Linked DNA regions of Nothobranchius furzeri. The protein of the gene in region 1 binds, or shares a complex with, the protein of each later gene. Links are inferred from orthologs where the notes say so. Each region holds a gene or a part of one and is shown in the gene's direction. Other genes may lie near its edges.

Region 1 (11,026 bases):
CCAGTTCCAGAGACCCTCGCAGGCCCTGTGGATTCAAGCTGCTTTCCGGAGTTTTCCTCTTTCAGAAATTATGTATGATTTGTCAGAAATCCGTAAAAGTGATAATCTCATAATGTACTGTGATATAATGTAAGCAATAAGTCTTTTTTTTTTTGGCTAAGCACGCCCCCTGCCCGCTTGAGCTCTGTGTGTGATGGCTACCAGCCTGGTCAATGGGATGCAGGAGCCACGATCACCCAGCCCTGGTGATCAGCCTGACACCGCCCCTACTCCTCCTCTCTTCCAGGCTGCTGAGGAGCACAGCTGAGCTGAATCCTGCTGATGACCCACACCTAGGATAATAAGGCTGTGCCTTCAGCAGTCTGGGAGGCAGCAGTGCAGGGGTTCTGCTGTCCTCCAGGCCTCATTTTGTTTTCAACCCCTTCGAGTTGAAGGGTTTTAACTTTTATAGTTTTAACTCCGAGTGATCCAGAGGGATCGTTTTAAAGGTCAACTCTGTGATGCAGTTTTATTGACTTTGGTTTTAAAACACCTTCTGTTCCGGTAAAACTTTTAACATAAGTTTTAACCAGGTGTTGTATGTCAATAGATTGTTTTAGAACTTTTATCAACTTTGTGGATTTTGAAACACCTTCTGTTTTGGTTAAACTTTTCATAAGTTTTAACCAGGTGTTTTTAACGTTGGTAACTGCTCTTTTAATGTTAACCTTTTAGAGTTTTTTGTTGTTGTTTTGCATTATCTTAATAATGCTCGCCATCTGTTTGCACTTGTTTTAGAACCTTTTATAACAATTAAACCCATTTTAACGCCACTGTCGCATTTATGTTGCCCCCTCCTTCACATTTTAACACCTCCTGTCAGGGACATAACACGTGCAATAGGAAACTGAGCGCCGACCAGAACTAACCAATAGCGTTAGACTACCGTTTATAGACGCTTCAAATTTAAGGAATACCTCGGCTGATGCAGCATTGATTAACTTTTCACGGACAAGAAAGTCTCTAAAATATAAAAATATGAAAACACAGCATAACATGAGAATAATACTCGTAAAGCAACGTGTTTTAGCTCTGTTTGTCAGCTACAGAAGCACATTTATAAACAGAAAGGTGAAGTCGCCGTCTTAAACAGAACAGCGTTTTTGTGTGATACGCTTGTCGGCCACTAGATGGTGCCATTGGATAAGAGAAATACTCCAGAAGGAGGCTTTAAGGTGCTGTGTTAAACTGTCAAATAGAGCTTAAAGAACGAGTCACTCCCTACAAGAAACTTACTTCAATCCCACTTCATGTCTGAAAAATGCAACAAATGCTGTTGCCTGGCAGACAGAGAGGGCGGAGCCACTAACAAATACACACAAACAGGCACACAACAGCATTGTGACATCATAATGTACTAGGGCTGGGCGATATGGCCTAAAATTAATACGATATATTGAGGATTTCACCTCAATAACGATAAATGGACGATAACTACAGGAATGCGCAGAAACAAAAGTTGTCCACTAGATGGGGCTGTCACATGTATTAGTTGGGTCACATTTTACTGACTCAAGGCAGTAGAGCTTCTTAAAGCACAAGTCACCCCCACCAGAGTATTACTCCACTCCCACTTCCTGTTTGAAAAATGCAACAAAATGCTGTTGCCTAGCAGACCGAGAGGGCAGAGTCGCTAACAAATACACACACACACATACACAGGCTCACAACGACATTGTGACATCATATGGTACTAGCTAACATTCTAGGGTACGTCTTAGCCAATAGCGATGGCATATTTAAATTCAAACGCAGTGCAGTTTTTACCTGACAATGGCACAACACTGACAGTTTTAGGCAGAAAATTGTAATTGTAACTAAAATGCACTAAAGTGCTAAACTATTGACTACACGTGTCTGCAGCATGATTAGACACGCATTCATATAGTTTATCAGAAAAAAACTTGGTTTGGGGGGTGACTTGCCCTTTAAAGGGACATGAACGCTGCCAACCTACACACATTTTTTTATTATCAAATTTATTGACATAGGAAAAATTATCACGATAAGTCAGAAATTTTGATAACAATAAATTTTTGATTTATTTCCCAGCCCAATGTACTAGCTAACGTCATTGTGTACCTCTTAGCCAATAGTGATGGGAGATTTAAATTCAAATGTAGTGCAGAGTTTGCACAACACCCAGTTTTAGGCAGAATTTCACATTTTTAGGCAGAATATTTAAATTTTAACTTAGAGGCACTAAAGTGCCAAAATATTGATCACTCGTGTCTATAGCATGATTAGACACTCATTTATATAGTTTATCAGCAACAAACAGTTGATTTGGGGGTGACTTGCTCTAGCAGACCTGAAGACCAGAACTGGACACCACCAATGAGGACTAAACTCAACATCAACATGTAGCAGCCTGTTTGGTAACATGTTCTCATTGTTCACACAGATAGGTTTAATTAAACCACACACGTGCTGGTTATTTCGCCCGTTCTACTTCCTGTTGTAAATTTACTGAACATGTCTGACTTTAAAAAGCAAAGATGACAGAAACCCTCCATGTTCGCTGCTCCACGGTGCTGCTTCAAAAACAAATCCCTGAATCGTGAAACACGTCGTAATGGTGACATGAAGGAGGTTTAAACGTGTAGCAACTCAACGTAAACTAAACACTGAAGCATAGGTGCAACATTTGTTTTTAAGTGAGTCAGTTACTGCTGAAAAAACGTATTTTACCATCTTTTAGCAGGTTTGTGGACGCCTCTTGTTCCTCCATGTTGGCACTTCCTGATCAGACTTCTTCTGGTGAAATTGGAGCTCTTTCGCCGCTCAGAGGGCGGAGTGTGAACTGCTGCCACAACATCCGGGCACCGATTACACGCAGATCACAGGGATGCGCTACCACCAGCTCTGGGATCCAAATTTTCTGATAGAAAGCAAAAATCAACACTCACCCTCCTTCTACATTTGGTAAAAGAAAAAATTTACAATTGTAGGGTAGGACCCTAAAAGCTTATAGGTTTAATTGTGGATGTGTTCTATCTTTGGATTTATAGATAATTATTTGATTTTTTTAAATCTAATTCAGGATTTAGGGTTTAAATTTCATTTGTTTATTTTATCTTATTTTAGAAGGAATATATATATGGCTACCTCTGTGAATGACTGATTGTGTTGTAAAGCGCCTTGGGGGGTTCCAGGGCTCTAGAAGGCGCTATATCAAATACAGGCCATACCATTTGATTTAATCCCTTTTCTTCCCATCAAAATAAACAGAAACTAGTTTAAGTTATTAAACTGGATAGTAGGCTACATAGCACTTTTTTAAGGTCATAAAGCAGTGCTCTTCAACTCTTGTCCTCGATATCCAGCGTGTTTTTATTGTTTCACTGTGTGGCGATTGCATGTTTCTGTTGGACACTTGTAAAACAGTCCGGATATTGCAATGTAACTCTTAGAGACACTCACTTTTGAACTAGGGATACTAGCACCGAGTGGGAACCCCCCCCCCCCCCCCCCCCCCCCAAAAAAACTACTCTTGAGAGATAAGCTAATATTTATTAAACACATAAATAAACACACACACATCTGGGGAGGGATTTTCACAGACTCTGGCATTCTCCGTTCTCACACCTGAAAGTCGGTGAAGAACATCTGTTTTATTCTGCCAGACCCATAGGTGCTATACTCTTCTCCAAGGCCAGATTAATGCAGAAACAACTTTATTGTATTTATCTATTTGAACTAAATTAATTAATACACATGACCTGCTTAGAGGCTTGATGGTCTTCTGAACTGGTATCAGCCATCAAATCAGGTGTGCTGGAGCAGGGAAACAACTAAAACATGCTGGATGGAAGAGCTCCAGGACCAGAGATTGAGAGAGCACTGCCCTGAAGACACCAGGATGTAAATCATTTGATGATTAATCCATACGTGTTTCTATTTCTACAGTACAGAATATTGCTATTTTTACCTCCACAGACAATGTTATAAATGTGGCAGGGTGGAGAAATGAGGGCCCGGGCGGGATTTGATCCCCAGGCTCCTGGGTGAGAGTCACGCACTCATACCAGTCAGCCAAAAGGACATCCCCTATGTCAAGTAGCCAGGGCACATGATCAATCGTGACACTGTGACAGGACACTCACACTGTCACATACACTGATCCTTGAAATTAAAGTTTTTGAGACATAAACAGCAGACTGAATAAATACCTGATATAATGTAGTAGGTGGATTAGAACCAGACTGGGTTATTTTGTATTTAAAGTGTAAAATCTGGATCCAACAAGCTTATTATGGGTCTCTGACTTCATGGTTTTCTACTGTAGCCTGGCCTGCCATACTCCTCCTCTGTTTAATTCTGCACAGAGTCTGGCAGGCCAGGCTAGTCCTACTGTAGAAAAAAAATGAAATGGGGAATATGAAAAACTGATCAGACTGTTTATAATACCGGGAAAATATGATATATGTATTTTGAGAACTAATAATAATAATAATAATAATAATAATTATTATTATTATTATTATTATTATTACTGACTACATTAATGCATATTCTAATACTGCTGTGTCTAAACTTTATTTTTCCTGCCACTTTATTTCATTCCAAAGCAGCACAATTCATTCCTGCAATATTCCAATTTTAAATCCCAGTTTTCCAGACTACAGCTCAAACAGCTCCCACTCCTTCGCACAGTCATATATGTTCGCCAGAAGAACGGGAATGTTGTATCTCTGTCGAGAACTTTTAATCAGACTCAGCTTTCAGCTGTGTGCGCTTTACCAAATGACTCTGACAATATGGCGGCGACGGGTCGCACCGCACGCTTACGTTACGTCAACTCTTTTACTACACTGTCACTGTGACGCTGCAGTGCACGTTGCTAGTTAGTTGCAATGTTGTAGCTATTAGCACGACAGCCATTCTTTTGCTGGGGGAGAGCCGACATTTGGTCAGAATAACTTTGAATTCTCGGCTGTTAAAAGATTAATTAACAGACAACGGCAGGACGTTACAGCTTTGATAACAACGCGCCAATTAGACGTTTCGTATTCCTCGGCTACTGGTTAGCCGACCTAGCTTGTAAGCCAGCCGTTAGCGACCAGCTAACTCTTCCTCTTTCGGTCTTCTGTCCTCTGTCCAGCTGGAGGAGCATGGCGATGAGACAGACCCCTCTCACCTGCTCCGGTCACACCCGGCCTGTGGTGGACCTGGCTTTCAGTGGAATCACTCCTTTTGGCTACTTCCTCATCAGCGCCTGCAAAGGTGAGTCCTCAAGCCGTCCAAATCCAAGGTGCTGCCCTGCTCAGGATCTTCATTTACCTGTCTCACTCACACAGACTTCTCTCACTTTGGTCCCTGACTTACCTGCGCCTCAAAAGAAACTTTGTAACGATTTATTTCAGATGTCTTTTTTTATGAAAATCCTATCTGCATTACTTGAATCACCTCAGATGTGTTCAGTTCACGATCTGGTTTCATTCTTTGAAGAATCACATTTCTTTCACAACTTTATATAAATACAAATTTGTCATCGTGTAGGAGTTTTCCTCTGTGTTCACCTACTTGTTTCCAAGCAAAAAGTGGAGATAATTTTTACCTGAAAAATTCTCTTCCATTACAAAAAAAAAAAAAAAAAAACAGTAAAATCATCACCATTCGTCTTAGGCTTCCCTTTCTGTCAGAATAGCCATATGACCCTCACCAAGTGTTCTGTCAGGGAGTGAGGGAAACGGGAAGGTGAATACCATGGCGAAAGTAATAAGCTACTGATGGTTACCATGGTGCCCCTAATAAGCCTCTGCTAGCAGCTTTAACATTTGTTGAGTTTGGTCCTCTTTACACATTCTATATAATTTAAGGCAGTGGCTGTTTCTCAGTGCTTAAGAGGACACTGTCCTGCAAGGATTAAAGAAAACGGTTACATGGAACAGACTTATCTCACGTGACCCGCCATCACGTCATGTGACATGTGAGGTAAAGTTAGATTTATATATATGTATAACTAGCCTTTAACTTTTTTAAATTATGTATATATTGGTTAAATTAAATATGTAAGCAAGTTACTACCCGCTTGCCACCGAATCTGCAACTGCAAAGCAACTGACCAACCATAGATAATTGCTTTGAATCTAAAAAAATATTTCAGATATCAGCCTGATAGCTACAATTAGTTGACTTGCATTTAAACTGGAAATTTGCCCCTGAAGTAGCTGCCGGCTCCTGATCCGCCATTCATTTGAAAATACTGTGGTGTATTCTGAGAAATGTTTCAGTCAGAGAAGGCAACAAGACACCTCCCATGTATTCTCAGTCAGTTAGCTAAACGGCGGACAAACGAAGGACAGACGCCTCTGTAGCACATGAACATTGGAACACGTCTTGGCGGTTCCTGATGACGTATCTCTTAGGCAACTGGGCTGGGACCAAGGCATCAAGGCGAGGTTCCTTGACCTTGAGAAACACCCAGTTTCTCAGCTCAGATTAATACAAAACTGATTTTTAACATTTTACACCAGCTGCTTGAAAGCCACTCAATGTCTTGAGAAAGTTCATATTAATGATCTTTTCATGGGAGTTTTAACAAGTACATCACCATCCCCTTCTTCCTTTTGTTAGATGGCAAGCCCATGTTGCGCCAGGGAGACACAGGGGACTGGATCGGAACGTTTCTGGGTCACAAAGGTGCGGTTTGGGGAGCCACTCTGAATACAGACGCCACCAAGGCAGCCACAGCTGCTGCAGACTTCACAGCGTGAGTGGGGTTCAGCTCTCGATGTAGAGATGCATGATTTGAATTTTGTTGGAAAATGCACTTTTTTCTTGTTTTTAACACTCTTAAAACGTTTAGCTGTAAAAACAAGTTGTCTTTTATTAATAATATATTCTCTTTCTACTCCCCTTCACTCACACACTCTGCAAATGTGCGTTTGGACTCATTGAGATTGTTGGACATACATATTTCAAAAAGGAAGTAAACTGAACCACTGAAAAAGAATTTCACTATCCCATTTACCAGACAAATCATAGCTTCTTAACTTTTTTCTTGTTCTTTATGTGTTATCTTAGAAACCTCAAAACAGAAAAATACAGCAAGTCACTTGGTGCAAGTGGTGCACCTAGGTGAAAGAAGATCAACTGTTACAAAATGAAAAAAAAAATACAAGATCACTCACAATCTCCCTCAACCTTGGGCTCCATGCAAGATCTCACCTTGTGTCATAAAAATGATCTTGTTTTCAGAGTAACTCTTAATTTTAACATTTCAGGAAAAAAAAAAAACGTGTTTAAATCATGCTAAAATTCCCACCAGCAGCATCCTCAAAGTCCTGGTGAAGAAAAACGATCTGTTTTGCATGTGTTTTAAAAAAAAAGAAAACCAACCTTTCTTTGTTTCTGTTACGTGTTTTCTATTAAATGTTTAGTTTCATTTATTCGATAAACTACTATACATCTAGCCTAGAATCTAGAAGACAGTCATTTGTCGAAGCAAAATAATTGTGCATATAGGATGGCTTGCCAGGCTACTATAAATCTATAATGGTGAACATTTTGCTTTCCAGGAAGGTGTGGGATGCCGTAAGTGGAGACGAGGTCCTCTCACTGGCACACAAGCACATTGTGAAGTCTGTCAACTTCACTCAGGTCAGTTTTGCTTAGCATCAGCATCCTTCATATGTTAATTCAGGTATTTTACTGCTCATTTTTTTCACAGATGCCTTTGTACACCAACACCAAGATCAAAAAGTGGGAGCCTCCAGGGCTCACACCTATTTTTAGTTACCAAGTGAATAATTTGTTCAACACATGGATTAATCTGATGATTGATTAAACACATCTCCTCAGCTAATCATTGTTCACATCCTTACAAAATAAAACACTTGTGGGTTTCTTTTTCTATTCCACAGGACAGCAACTGTTTGCTAACAGCAGGAAATGACAAGCTGCTGCGTATTTATGACCTCAGCCAACCTGAAGCACGTAAGGCTACACACTGCTGGCTAGAAGGCGGGGCCAAACACTTCTGAACAGGTCATAGACATCAGATTGCTGTGTTTAGAGTTACTATGGGTTTTAATTAAAGAAATATGGTTTACACTAATCATAAACATTAGTGGAGTTACTTACCCACCCACTCAGTCACACACACACACGCACACCAAAAGAATACTAGATGTGAGCCAACACTTTTTCCTTTAACACTTGTGTGTTTGTTCCAGCTTCACAGGAGATTGCAGGTCACAGTGCAGCCATAAAGAAAGCTCTGTGGTGTAACAATGACAAGCAGATCCTTTCTGCTGCTGACGACAAAACCATTCGGTTAGTTTTTCTCCTGGATGCTTTGTAGAAATCTGATTTCTTTGTCCCGCTTTGGTGGCAGTTGTTCATGTTGACCTTCTGACAGTTTGGATCATATAAACTCTGTGTGTGTGCCCAGGCTGTGGGACAGGAGCTCCATGCAGGAGGTGAAGATGCTGACCTTTGAGACGTCTGTGAGCAGCATGGAGTACATGGCTGATGGGGAGTTGCTCGTGATCACCTATGGGAAGACGATAGCTTTTTACAATGCTTTGAGGTATGCAGTCAGATAGAGGTTGACTGATGTATTGGGTCAATATTTACCATTTGTAATACATCAGCATCAAGCAATATACCTTCTTAGTAAAGCCAATTTAGAAAGAAAGTAAGAAAACAATCTGTTATACAGTGCCTCTCAAGATAAAAATCGTGAAAAGCTTCACAAAAACACACAAAAAATTTAAGTGTTAAGTATAAAAAATATTTTAAAAAATGATTCAAAAAATGTTTAAAATGAGAAAAAAAATTGTGATTAAAAAAAGAAATGTAAGAAAAGGGAGAGAGAGAAAATCAATAGGAAAGAGGTAAATCAGTGGATCGCGGGAAAGGCAAAATTAGAGCAGAATAAGGAGAGGGTGGTGACAAAGGTCTTACAAAAGCCAGGTTATTACCCCTGAGGTAACCCTTTTCTAACCCAAATATCAGGTCATGTAAACTCATATCGGGATAACCCTTTCAAAAGGTGCGCTCTGCGCATGTTCTATTCACAAGGAATCTTGGTCTTTTGAGTAGATCAGGGGTCGGCAACCTTTTCCAATCAAAGAGCCATTATTACTTGTTTCCCACAATAAAGAAAACACTGGGAGCCACAGCGGCCGTGGCATTGTGGGCGTGCCTATCGGGCCTAAGCAGGTCAAACATGTCTCCTTTTAAAACATGTTTAAACTGCTCAGAATACAAATCCAGGCTCTGTCCCTTTGGATTGTTGTAATTAAACTTTGTACTGAACGAAACTTTATATTAAACAATGTTGAAAAGGATCTGATCAATTCGGTTTTTTTCCCCTCACTTACAGTGAAGGAGGTAACGGCACAGTGCACAAGACTCTGGTGTTAATCAAGTTTATTTGTTTCTCTTTGCAACAATCGTCGCAATAAGGCAAAACAGTTAAATGGCAGCGTTCACATTGACCGGATATTTCCCATATTTGACAGTTTATTTTAATGGAGAAACCTCAAGGCTGTTGGTCGCTTTGAAGGACACGTGCAGATGCACTGACATTTTAATCATTAAGCACATTGCCGAGGTAGCTAAATCGATTAAGAAAAGATTCCCATCAATTCAAAGATACTTTATTAATCCCAGAGGGAAATTAGAGTTTCAGTACACACAATTCAGAGATCAGACATGCATGGGCAAGACACATGACAAGAATTGGTGACTGGTCATTCGCAACCCTGAGTCACGCTACCTTAATAGAGATCAGAGGGTTACATGAGGATTGGTTCAGGTGGAGGGAAAAAAGGCACTTCAGACCTACACTCCACCGGGAGGGCAGCTTTGCTCTGCAAAAAAAAACACCTCAGACAGAAATGCAACAGACTTCAGACATCACACAGCATAAGTCCACTAGGTGGGGTGGTGGGTTTGGGACTATCCACACTTCAGTTCCTGCAGCCACTACAAGCAGCGCATGTCACCTCAGTGTGAACAGGGGGAGGAGCATTGAGGGTTGGAGGGTCGCAGTGACCCTGGAACGATTCGACGGCCTTCCCGCAGTCCCGCCCAGGCTGGGATAGGAGACAGAGTTGAGTTGTCATAGCGACGGCACATTCCACATATCTTCTGAGGGGGGAGTTTTCGTTGGAGCCTTGCAGGCTCAAGGGCACCATATTCCGATTAGAAATTGTTTTGGGGCCAGACAGAGAGAATTTCCTCTCTCTCTCTCTGTCTTACAGTTTGTTGGTCCTCAACCTCTCAAAATCCCAATAATGGACATTAATCTATCCCAATCCGTGCTGATTTGTCCACTCTATCCTTGATGGCATCCATCTTTTGTGCCAATGAATGAATCTCGGCCAAAGTTCCAAGCTTGTGATTCATCTCGACAATTATGTGAGTCTATGAATTCACAGCGTGGTGCAAACCATCTCTAAGCTCCGGGAGCAGGCCAGTATTCCTCGACAGCTCGTTAATTTTCCGGTAAGCCAGGTAGCCTCCAAGGCCAATGAGCAGGAAACCTGACACCAACACCACGAATATCCACACGTATCAGAGTCCTCCACAGACAGCTGAGATAAACAAATCAAGTTCCACTGTTTCCAGGAGTCCATGACGTGTCCAACTGGGTCTGTCCTGGAGGGGCATCCGGGAGCCCCTTCTCCCGTTCTCATCGTTGAACAAACTTTATCAATCGCGTTGAGAGACCAAGTGACGAGGTCCATTTTAGTGATTTCAGTTTCCAGAAAAAATGCAGAAGCAGCCGTGCACACAGAGACAAAGGGCCTTGAGGATAAGATATGGAGGAGAGGAGGAAAAAAGCGTCTGCACCCTCCGAGAACCGGAAGAAAAAGAACATCAGAACATCTGAGCATTCTACTGGACGCTGCTCAGTGCTGCTCGCTGTCAGCGTGCACATAAGGTGGACAGCAAGCTAAAGATGTCTGTCTGTAACAGGTGGCATTAAAAAAAGTATTTTCATCTCAACTTTTTTTTATTCACCAGTTTG
Region 2 (10,894 bases), on another chromosome or scaffold:
CAACACTGTCAGTTTTAGGCAGAATATTAACATTTTGACTAAGATGCACTAAAGTGCCAAATTATTGGCTACACGTGTCTGCAGCACGATTAAACACTCATTTATTTGGTTTATCAGCAAAAAAAAAAAAAAAAAAAGATGATTTGGGGTGACTTGCTCAGCTAATTTATAAACTTGACTCTCCCATATTCCAGTCAGAGCTAACAAAGCTCTTCGGATGTCCAGGTGCCTTCATTTGAAACCCTGGGACAACCATGACCTGGATTATGGCTGTGCGTTACCGTGGCAACGAATCTTCGCCATGTCGATGGGTTGAACAAATAATAACATCAGCTACGCAGAGGCTCTGAAAAGGGCTCAGAATGGAAAGGATGAGGAAAGAAAAGTTCAAACAAAGTCGCCATCTGATTTTGTGCAAATACAGGAACCTCACGCAGGATTGACAGCAGAGGAGATGATTTTGTTTACGGCGTATGTCATAAACTGTACGGATCAAGTGAAGCACAAAACAGAGAAAATAAAAATGATTGTGAAAGGAGCAGAGAGGTTTTTTGGCATTAAAGACGTTTCGTGGGAACATGTCATTAAAAGACTTGGGGAGGAAGGGAAAGCGGGAGGTCCTGGTGACAGGACAGCATGATTATAATGGAATGCCAGAAGTTTGATTGCAAATGGACAGGAATTTAAGGGATTTATCGATAAATGCAAAATAAAACCAGAAATAGTATGTTTTCAGGAGACATGGCTAAAACCTAATTTAGATTTTGTTATTGCAGGTTATGATTGTATCCGTAGAGACAGAAGGGAAGGTAACGGTGGAGGGTGTATAACTTTAGTGAAACAAGGAACTCAGTATAGACCTGTACATGTAGGATCTCAGCTAGAATACATAGTAATTGAAGTCTGGTCCAGTGATTGTAATATTAAAGTAATCCATTTTTATAATCCAGGCAACAGAATATTGAATATAGGTGAACAGTTAGAGGGAAAAGTTATTTGGTGTGGGGACTTCAATGCACACAGTTCCTTGTGGGGCAATAGCAATGACAGGAATGGGGCAGTTATTGAGGAACTGATGGAATCAAAAAATTATGTTTGTTTGAATGATGGAAGTGGTACGAGAATAAATATTAGAGCTGGTACAGAATCGGCGATTGACCTCACATTAGTGTCAGATTCATTAGCAGGTTTTTGTTCATGGCGGGTAATTAAAGAAACAACTATTGGTAGTGACCATCATCCCTTACTGACTGAACTTGAGATGAATATAGAACAATGTGATACAGGAATTGTACAAAATTGGTGTTTTGGTAAGGCAGATTGGGAAAAATTTAAAATTATTTGTGACCAGGAAATGGAAAAAATAGATATGAATGTTGATGTTGAAGCATTGAATTTTTCTGTTTGTAATGCAGTTTTGAAGGCTGCAAATCAGGCAATAAAGAAGAAAGAAGATAGTACCCTGGTGGACAACGGATTGTGATGAAGTTATTAAGGATCGAAGTAAAGCTTTTAAAAATTTAAGGAGGAATCAAAGTTTTGTTAATTATATGGAATACAAAAAAGTACAGGCTAAGGTAAGACGAACTGTTAAAATTGCAAAGAAAGAGTATTGGAGGGGCTTTTGTAATTCAGCGGGGAGGGAGACAAAATTACAAAATGTTTGGTCGATGATTAAGAGAATGAATGGCATAAGAAAAGAGTATGGATATCCAATATTAAACGATGGTGAAGTAACAGCAGTAAAAGACGAAGAGAAGGCAAATTTGTTAGCTAAGACATTTGTTAAAATTCATTGTTTAGATAGTGTTAGTGAAGAAGGTCAAAGAGGCAGGGAAAATACGTCTCTGGAACATATAGAGTTATTGGAACAGGATGAAGATACTGATAACTTGTTAAATATTTTATTTACAAAATCGGAATTAAATCGAGTTTTACAAAAATCCAAGGTATCAGCACCAGGAAAAGATCAGATTTGTTCTATTATGATACACCATTTTAGTACTAAAGCTAAAGAAATTTTATTGGAACTATGTAATAGAGTTTGGGAGGGTGGGGTATTGCCACAAAGCTGGAAGGAAGCAGTGGTTGTACCCATACCTAAACCAGGAAAAGATAATACCGATCCAGGAAACTATAGACCTATAGCGTTAACATCTAATATTTGTAAGATAATGGAGTGCATGATAAATGAAAGATTATTGTACTACATTGAAAGTAAGGGTTACTTGTCTAACTATCAGAGTGGTTTTAGAAAAGGAAGAAATACGATGGATCCTGTTTTGTGTTTGGAACATGAAGTTAGGAGGGCACAAATAAACAAAGAGAGTGTAGTTGTTGTCTTTTTTGATATTGAAAAGGCTTACGATACAATGTGGAGAGAAGGCCTTTTAATTAAGATCAAACAAATGGGTATTGATGGATGAATGTTTAAATGGATCAAGAACTTTTTAATGGGACGACAAATTCAAGTGAGAATTGGGAAGATTTTGTCTGAAAAGTTTCCCGTGAAAAATGGTACACCGCAAGGTAGTATCGTGAGCCCATTATTATTTTCTATAATGATAAATGATGTTTTTAATGGTATAAAAGATGGGATGGGGTTTTCACTTTTTGCAGACGATGGGGCAGTATGGTATAGAGGGAAAAACGTAGAGTTTATTGTAAAGAAACTTCAAGCAGCAATGGGCAAGGTGGAGGAATGGTCGTACAAATGGGGTTTTAAATTCTCGGTAGATAAAACTAAGACGATGTTCTTTACAAGGAAAAAAGTAAGAGAGGATCTTAAACTTGAATGATATAGTCAAGAGTTAGAAAGGGTACATAAATTTCAATTCTTGGGTGTATGGTTTGATGAAAGGTTAACTTGGGGTGTACATATTCAGAGTATAATGGATAAGAGTAAAAGGGTTCTAAATATAATGAGGTGTTTAGTTGGGAGTGAATGGGGTGCAGACAGGAAATCTATGAAGGCCATATATAATGGATTGATCAGATCAGTATTAGATTATGGGTGTGTGGCATATAATTCAGCAGCAAAAACTACTCTTTCAAAATTAAATTCTATCCAGAATCAGGCACAGAGACTCTGTACTGGAGCATTTAAAACAACCCCAATAGCAGCGTTACAGGTAGAGACGGGTGAGATGCCAATAGCAATCAGACGAGAACGAATAGCTTTAAATTATTGGGCAAATCTTCAGGGTCAGGAAGAAGATCATCCAACACGAGACATACCAAAACCTTGCTGGGAGAAAGAAAAGAAGGAAACAACAAGTTTTGGATGGGTGATGATCAAAAAACCAGTAGAACTTAAATGAGATCGGTTTACAATCAGTCAAAGAGTTCCATTACCTGCTGTTCCGCCATGGATTCTTCCTGAGGCGTCTGTTGATTTATCATTATTAGAGAGAAAGAATATGGATAAGTCTTTCATACTAAACTCACATACAGCACAGGATTATATCGATCACTATTATAACTATGTAAAAATTTATACAGATTCTCGCAATCCTGTTAGCAGTTCGATGGGTGGAAGAAAACAGACCATTATTCTCAGTTATTTGTTCAGACTCCAGCTCATCATTAACCAGTTTAACGTGCAGCCATTCAGGAAGCAGACCAGACATACTCCTAGAGATTCAGCAAACACTTTATAGAATAAACACGATGGGACTTAAAGTACATTTTTTATGGATTCCAGCTCGTTGTGGAATCAGTGGAAATGAAGGAGTCGATAAGATGGCTAAGGAAGCTACAATAAATACTTCGGTTCAGTTAGATGTTCGATTTTGTCAGAAAGAGATGAAGAGCATAAAAAGGCGAGAAATGAAGAAAAAATGGCAAAAACAATGGGAGGAGGAAAGGAGGGGAAGATGGTTGTATAAAATTCAAAGAAGAGTAGGAGAAATAAGAAACACTGGAAGGAGTAGGAGAGAGGCGGTGATCATTTCTAGACTGAGGTTTGGACATACTGGGTTAAACAATACGTTATTCATGATGGGGAAACATAATACAGGGAAATGCGATTATTGTGGAGAAGAAGAAACTATAGTTCATGTTATATTACAATGTCGGAAGTATCAGGCAGGAAGAAGGACATTGATTCAAAATCTTAGACAGATCAAAGTGAAACTAGACCGACAGAATTCAAAAAGCGACTGTTTTCTGATTTTATTTCAGTTTTTAAAAGAGATAAGGATGTTTGGGAGAATTTGATGTATATATGTATTTGTATATATATGTGTATGTATGTGTGTGTATATATATGTATTTTTTTGTTCTTTCTTTCCCGTGTTTGATTTTGTTTTATGAGCGCTGTTCCAGACCACACTCCACACCAGTTGGTGGCGGTAATGCACCATTCGTTGTTCGCCAACCGCCAATAAAACACCAGAAGAAGAAGAAGATGGCGACTGTGCTGTAGTGAAACTTGCGTGTTTTTCATTACCTGATTCGGTTCCGCTGTTCTTTTACTTTATTAGAACATGAAGTCGGACGTGGAGGAGTTAATGCCGAGGCTCCTGCCGCTGGAGACCGGAGGCGGGAGCGGAAACCTGGACTTGAGTGGAACCCCCAGAAACCCCCAGGAGTACCTCCGACAGGTCCAGTATGTTCGAGCCGAACCGTCTCGAGAATCAGAACCATGTTCGACCACGGAGCTTTATAAGTTTGGTGTTTCATTAGGTTGGAGGCCTCTTTATGCCCGGAGGTGGTCGTTGCTCAGATCGATCCCACAAAACTGAAGAAGCAAACTGTTAATGTGTCGGTAAGTGACACACACACACACACACACACACACACACACACACACACACACACACACACACACACACACACCACATGTTTAACATGTTTTGGTTCCAGGTAGCAGGATGTCATGCTGCTCCTCAGGGCTTCTCCCCCAGCCTCAGGTGGCAACAGCAGCAAGTCAGTAACTTCTCTGACGTCAGACAGGTGAGACTTCACAGTAACACACGTTACGAACATGTCCACACAGTAACACACGTTACGAACATGTCCACACAGTAACACACGTTACGAACATGTCCACACTGGACAGTGTCCTTTAGTCACTTTTGTTTCTCAGAGCATCACCAAGAACAGGCAACACTGGAGGAGCCAAATTCTGGATGACAACGTGCAGATGGTGAGATTTTTATTCACTACTCAAACCGAAATCAGCATTCTTTCAAGGGGAGACAGAAATCCCATGTTAAGGTGGATTTGAAGCACCTGTAAGAATCTTGTCATGCAGCATCACACTGGAGGTTTGGTTTATGCAAGCTTGACGCTGGTGTCTTACAGCCGAGGCTGACCGATGAGGAGGGCTGGAAGAGGTTTTGTTTAGGGGAGAACGTTTATCAGGGAACTTCATCCGGCCCGACGGATGCACACCAAGAACCAGCATTGGACTACGGCAAGGTTATACAACTGTTTACACCTTATTGCCTTTGTGAGCGCTTACTCCTCAGAATGAGTTTACCTGATTTAAATCGATCAAAGCTGAGATGTTTCCACATTCTACTTCTCCCACAAAAGCAAACAATCTAAACAGATAAAGTGTATTTATTTAATCCTTTGATGATCCGCCACTCATGAAAATTCTGTGGCACCTTCATGAGACCAAGGAAGTGAAGTCTCACTGATGGTTTGTTTGGGTCTAGATTGGCTTCCCTCCCTTCCTGAGCATCGTAAGCAGACTAAACCAGGTAAACGGGGGTCTACGATGACATCCATGTTGTTTTTAGCCAGTTTAACAGTCTTAATATTTTTGTCTCAGTCCACAGTTCTCATGTTGTTAGATGTTCTGATCAGCTGGTTTGAAGAGCGAGAGTTTGTTCCACAGCTGGTGAGTTTGCTTCTCGTCTCCAGCTGGTTGACAACAAATCTAATGCTAGTGGAAATATAGTTTTTTAAATTTTCGCACGAAAATAAATTGTTAGAACTCCAGGGCCCTCATTCATCAAACAAACTTATGCACAGATCTGCACGTAGGAACAGTTTTACACACTGCATACATGTAGCGACATGAATGGCCATATTTGTGACCCAAAGGTCACACTTCCCCAGCTAGGTCACGCTGTCCTGGCTGAACTTCTGTCCACAGATTATCCATCACAGGAGACGCACAGTCTTCTAGAACCATCTTTAATCTGACTGCCTTTAATCTGTCTGCTGTTCCATCCTAAGATGAAGGACACTTCAAGATTTAAAATAATCATTTTTAATAAACTCTTTTCACTGTTTATTACAAGGTTCATAAATAATCATCACGGTTCATTATAAATGTATTTAATTACTGAAATGAATTATTATTCTTTGGTTAATAATTATTATTTATGATAATCAGTAATGTTTACCAGTGTAAAGAAGGTCATGTACACTTATACACACCATGCAGGACACTGAATTCAGGGTAAAGGTAACCACCTCACATGTCTTTGCTCCATAACCAAAGCTTTCTATCTCTGAGAGGGCGTGTTCTGAGTTTTAATAAAACCCAAAACTCCTCAGTTCAAGCTGACAGTTCTGAACCAACCAAAACCTCTCCGTGGCACGAGAGTCCCAGAGGACAAGGGTCGGCCGCCCGAAGCCTCCACTAAGCTGTTCTGTCACGCTGATAGAATCGCTCCGAATAAACGCCACCTGCACCAGCTGACACAAAACTCCTTCAGAGTTAAGACGCAAACTCAACACCTGTGTGCCAGCGGCAACTCTTGGACCAGAGAGTCGGTACCACTCGCGCCTTCCCTACCGGACCGAGTACCCAGAGGCTGACAACATCCTTCCTTGACCTCCGGATCCACACAGAGGGTCGCCTGATGGGTGAGGTAGAACACAGATTGCGTCTGATGCTGTCATCTCTAAGAAACAACTTAGTTAGCTGCAAAACAAACTCTTTCACCCAGAACGCGTTTCTCTCTGAAAGAAACCTTCTGAGATTCCAGTCACACATCCAACACACGCATTTCATTTTAGCTTTCATCCAGACACAGGTTTGCTTTTAATACCAAGTTTTAATATCAAAGCTGTTATAAATTGTCATCTTTAAATTGTTCGTTATAAATTCTTAACTTTTTAAACCTGACTCTTCTTTGAAATGAAACACAGAATGGTGTAAATTTGGTTATTGAACGAGCAAAGATTCCTTTAAATATTCCGATTTAATAAATAAACTTTTGCTATTAATTTAAATCTCTTAAATTAAATATTAATCTTTGGATTAAATATAGACCAAGCCCGTTGGTGTATGAACTTCTATCGATTATATAAATATCCTGGATATTTATACATAAGTTTCATTTGCTAATTTGTTTGATTTTTCTCAGCATTTAGCCAAGCTGATAGCAAACCGCGTTAAATTCTAGTATGTAGATTATCTACGCGACATAAAAATGTTCCTAAGTACAAGAACGTCTCTGTTCTTGTGTACAAACAGGACCGAGAAATCACAAAACCGAAGGTATTACTTATCTACGCGTTCCTAACAGCAACGTTTGGTCCTCACTCTCGTTAAAGTTACTTGTTGCTCGTTCTTGTGACCAAATATGGTTAACTGAGGGCGTTTCTGTATGTGAATGAACACACGGGCACCTGGGTGGGGTGGTGATGGAGACACCAGTGGCGCCAGCGTACGGCAGCCTTGCCTCTGTCTGTGTGACCCAGGGCAGCTGTAGCTACAATGTAGCTCATCACCATCAGTGTGTGAATGTTTCTGTGCACGAGTGAATGTCTGTTGTGTTGTAAAGCACCTTGGGGGGTTGTAAAACTCTAGAAGGTGCTATGTCAATTGCAGGCCATTCACGTGGGATTTCTCCACAGTGGGTTGCCAGGGAACACGAGTATGGCCGTGCTTCATAAATCAGGAGATTGTCCGTGTGAACCAACATTTCAAATATCATTCTTAGGACGGAATACAGGAGATTCTGTCGACGTTTGATGAATGAGGTTCCTGGTTTTCCTGATTATGAAATTCCTAACGCTGCTTTTCCCAAAAGGGTTGTTGGTTGTACGCTTTACTGGCCTGCTTAGAGAAACCGTTGCTGCCTGAAGCGCACTCCTCCATCCGACAGCTGGCTAGACGGTGCGCCCAGCTCCGCAGCACTCTGGTATGATGGAAACCCGAGTGTCCTTCAGGATTCTGACGGCGTATTTTATTGTGACGTCTGTAATGATTAAATTCTTCCAACAGGATTGTCAGGAGAATGAGAATCTGCCTGCTCTCAACCTACTCATCTGTCTGGTTGCTAGGTGACTCCAATAATGTCTACATTACCCATAAAATCAACAATGCAGCTGAAGTTAGAGCCTGAAATCCTGCGACTCACCACCTCTCGTTTTTCCTGCAGATACTTTGAGCAGAGTGATCTGGCAGACCAGCCGGAGTAAACACGAAGCCGAACCACCAGGGGATGTGGCTCGTGGCAGCAAGACTCGTATGAGGAAGTGTGTGTGTGATATTTTTGTAAAGCTGAAACTTCGTATTTGTGGATTAAATTTATGATTCTTATTCTTGGTTTGCTTTTGTGGTTTTACAAGCATCCTGAATGGCAGGAAACATGGAACTAGTGAAAACCAGTGTTGTGTTGGGAACGTCACTTTTAAAAAGTAATTATTTTGTCAAAAAAGTAACTAAGTTACTTACTGAGTTAAAAAATTATAAAAGTAACTAATTACCAACAAAAATAACTTTCATTACCTTTTTTCATTAAAGAATGCAAGAGAAATGGGTTCCCCTCTTAAACTTCATTTACTATAAATTTCAACAATAATGAAATATAAATGACTGGAACATAAAATGTTTTCTATAAAACAATAATTAAGCACTTAACAGGAGGAACGACAAACAGGAACATTACACTAATCCAGACTACTAAAACATCACTGCGATATTTAACAAGACCCTAATCAGCTAACATTTATAATTGCAAATAGAAGCACCTGTAAAGGTTCCTGAGCCTTTACATGGTCTCTCAGTCTAGTTAAATTACAGAAATGTAATTTTGCACAGTATTTTAATTTTTCCAGCTTAACATAATTGCGTATTTTTAGCAACATTTCTGCTGCTGCTAATTAGTAATGGTTAAATAAAAATCCTTTAAAATGACACTAGAAGAGGCACAAGCCTGATGGAGGACTTACATTTACTAACGTGGGTCAGACCCAACCACAGAAGAGCTGAAGCTGGGTGGTAAACACACACAGGTAGCTCTGATAACACCTGAGCTCCATGACGTCTCAGACTGATGCATCAGTGTTACAGCGGGACTAAAGACGTGATCAGAAACAGGTTACAGCTGGATGATCTAGGAAGGTAGAAGATCAGGACGTCTGAGCAGGTGAGCGGACCTTCGGGACGTCCCGCTGTCACATTCCTCGTTCTTCACGAGCCATGATGCTCTTGGATGAAAACAGCCACCTCTTTAGATCTCAATCAGCTGATGTCGGCTTCACCGCCGCGCTGCTGAATCAGCAGCGCACGCATTTTCTCAACAGTAACGGAAACAGCGTTATGATAAAAGATGATAATTAATGACTCGTTACTGAAAAAAACTACTTTTAAGTAACGCCGTTATTCCCATCTCTGGTGAAAACATACATTTTAAATTTAATCTGTCGACTAATTTAACATTTTAAAACCGAAAGTCCAACCAGAACAAGGAAACACATTTATGCCAATACCTCAAGTTTATTTGAAGCAGATTACAGGATAAAAAATAAAAGTCAAATCAAAACATTTGAACAGATCACATCAGACATGAACCAGACTGGTAAACAGCTGATCAGCACGAACCATTTTTAACCAGACGACCGTTTCTATGCATCAACACTCTTAATGCTGGACAATCAGACTTAAAACAAAAGTAAAGAAACCCGGATTTAAAAACAAGCTCGGACTCGTTCACTAGAGACTCCCGTTAGAAATCACATTTTAGGTGCAGCAACAATCCACATTACAACGTAAAACACCCACTGCTCATTAGGGAAATCCGCTTGGCTTTGACCAACTACATCCAACGAGTCGCTTCATTCAAAACTTCCAACATCGAGAGGAAAAGTCGTTTACTTAAAAGAAATGTGATTAAAATGTAATCTCCCGTCTCAGCTGCAGTTTTGTTGTTCCAGAAGCTTAAATCAGTGTCTCTTGGCCTTCCTGTCTCCATCTTTATGCTCCCTATCACTCCGGGAAGACCTACCCTTCCCCTCATCGCTCCTCTTCCTCCTCTCCTTCACGTCCCTCCCACCTCCACTACTCCCGCCTTTTTTATGGTGACTTCTCTCATCTCCTTTCTTTGCATTTCTACCTCTATCCGATGGCCGACGCTTCCGCTTGCCGCCGTCTCGGCTGCGGCTGCTTGATGACGAGGAAGAAGAGGACGAGGACGATGAGGAGTGGCTGGATCCTGAGGAAGAAGAAGAGGAACTTCCACTGGAGGAGGATCCAGAAGAGGACGAGGAGCTGTTGCTTTGACTGCGGCGTTTCTTCTGCTCCTTTTCCTTCTTCCTCCCTCTGCCGTCCTTCTCACCCTCCTTCACAGGAGTGACAACAGGAAGGGCTCCAGAGGCCTCCTGAGAATCTGGCAGCTTTTGTGGGGCTTCCTCCCCCGACTCTCTTTCGACTGTCTGGCTCTCGTTGGTGGGCTCCTGGTCGTTGGACCCAGGAGTGGTGGGATTCTGGACAGGAGGAGTGGAGGCCACCTGTGGTTCTTGGGCCGGAGAAGCCGCCTCTGTGCCCCGGGACTGAACGGCTGGTTCTCCTGCAGCAAGCCCATCGCTGCGGTCTGGTGCTTCCTGGCTGCTCTCAGCTGTTTCAGATATCTGCACACCTGGAGTCTTTTCATCTTGGAGCTCCGCGAGCCGCTGCTGACTGACTGTTTCTACCTCTTTCTCC

The links.
Region 2: strap (region 1) and gemin2 share a complex: the UniProt entries of both Homo sapiens proteins name them as parts of the SMN-Sm complex. The link is inferred for Nothobranchius furzeri from reciprocal best matches to the Homo sapiens genes STRAP and GEMIN2.

What each region holds. Positions count from the first base shown.
Region 1 is NC_091741.1:63,713,074-63,724,099, forward strand, and holds the start of strap (serine-threonine kinase receptor-associated protein), read left to right. Parts: upstream 1-4,858; 5' UTR 4,859-5,153; coding exon 5,154-5,265; intron 5,266-6,618; coding exon 6,619-6,754; intron 6,755-7,562; coding exon 7,563-7,644; intron 7,645-7,907; coding exon 7,908-7,980; intron 7,981-8,219; coding exon 8,220-8,319; intron 8,320-8,437; coding exon 8,438-8,575; intron 8,576-11,026. Other genes in the region: cog5 (conserved oligomeric Golgi complex subunit 5), read right to left, coding at 2,731-2,770. UniProt on the Homo sapiens protein: The SMN complex catalyzes the assembly of small nuclear ribonucleoproteins (snRNPs), the building blocks of the spliceosome, and thereby plays an important role in the splicing of cellular pre-mRNAs.
Region 2 is NC_091758.1:40,476,597-40,487,490, reverse strand, and holds gemin2 (gem-associated protein 2), read left to right. Parts: upstream 1-4,366; 5' UTR 4,367-4,487; coding exon 4,488-4,609; intron 4,610-4,686; coding exon 4,687-4,768; intron 4,769-4,866; coding exon 4,867-4,956; intron 4,957-5,062; coding exon 5,063-5,149; intron 5,150-5,307; coding exon 5,308-5,424; intron 5,425-5,666; coding exon 5,667-5,711; intron 5,712-5,782; coding exon 5,783-5,851; intron 5,852-8,000; coding exon 8,001-8,111; intron 8,112-8,194; coding exon 8,195-8,253; intron 8,254-8,351; coding exon 8,352-8,391; 3' UTR 8,392-8,512; downstream 8,513-10,894. Other genes in the region: pnn (pinin), read right to left, coding at 10,138-10,894. UniProt on the Homo sapiens protein: The SMN complex catalyzes the assembly of small nuclear ribonucleoproteins (snRNPs), the building blocks of the spliceosome, and thereby plays an important role in the splicing of cellular pre-mRNAs.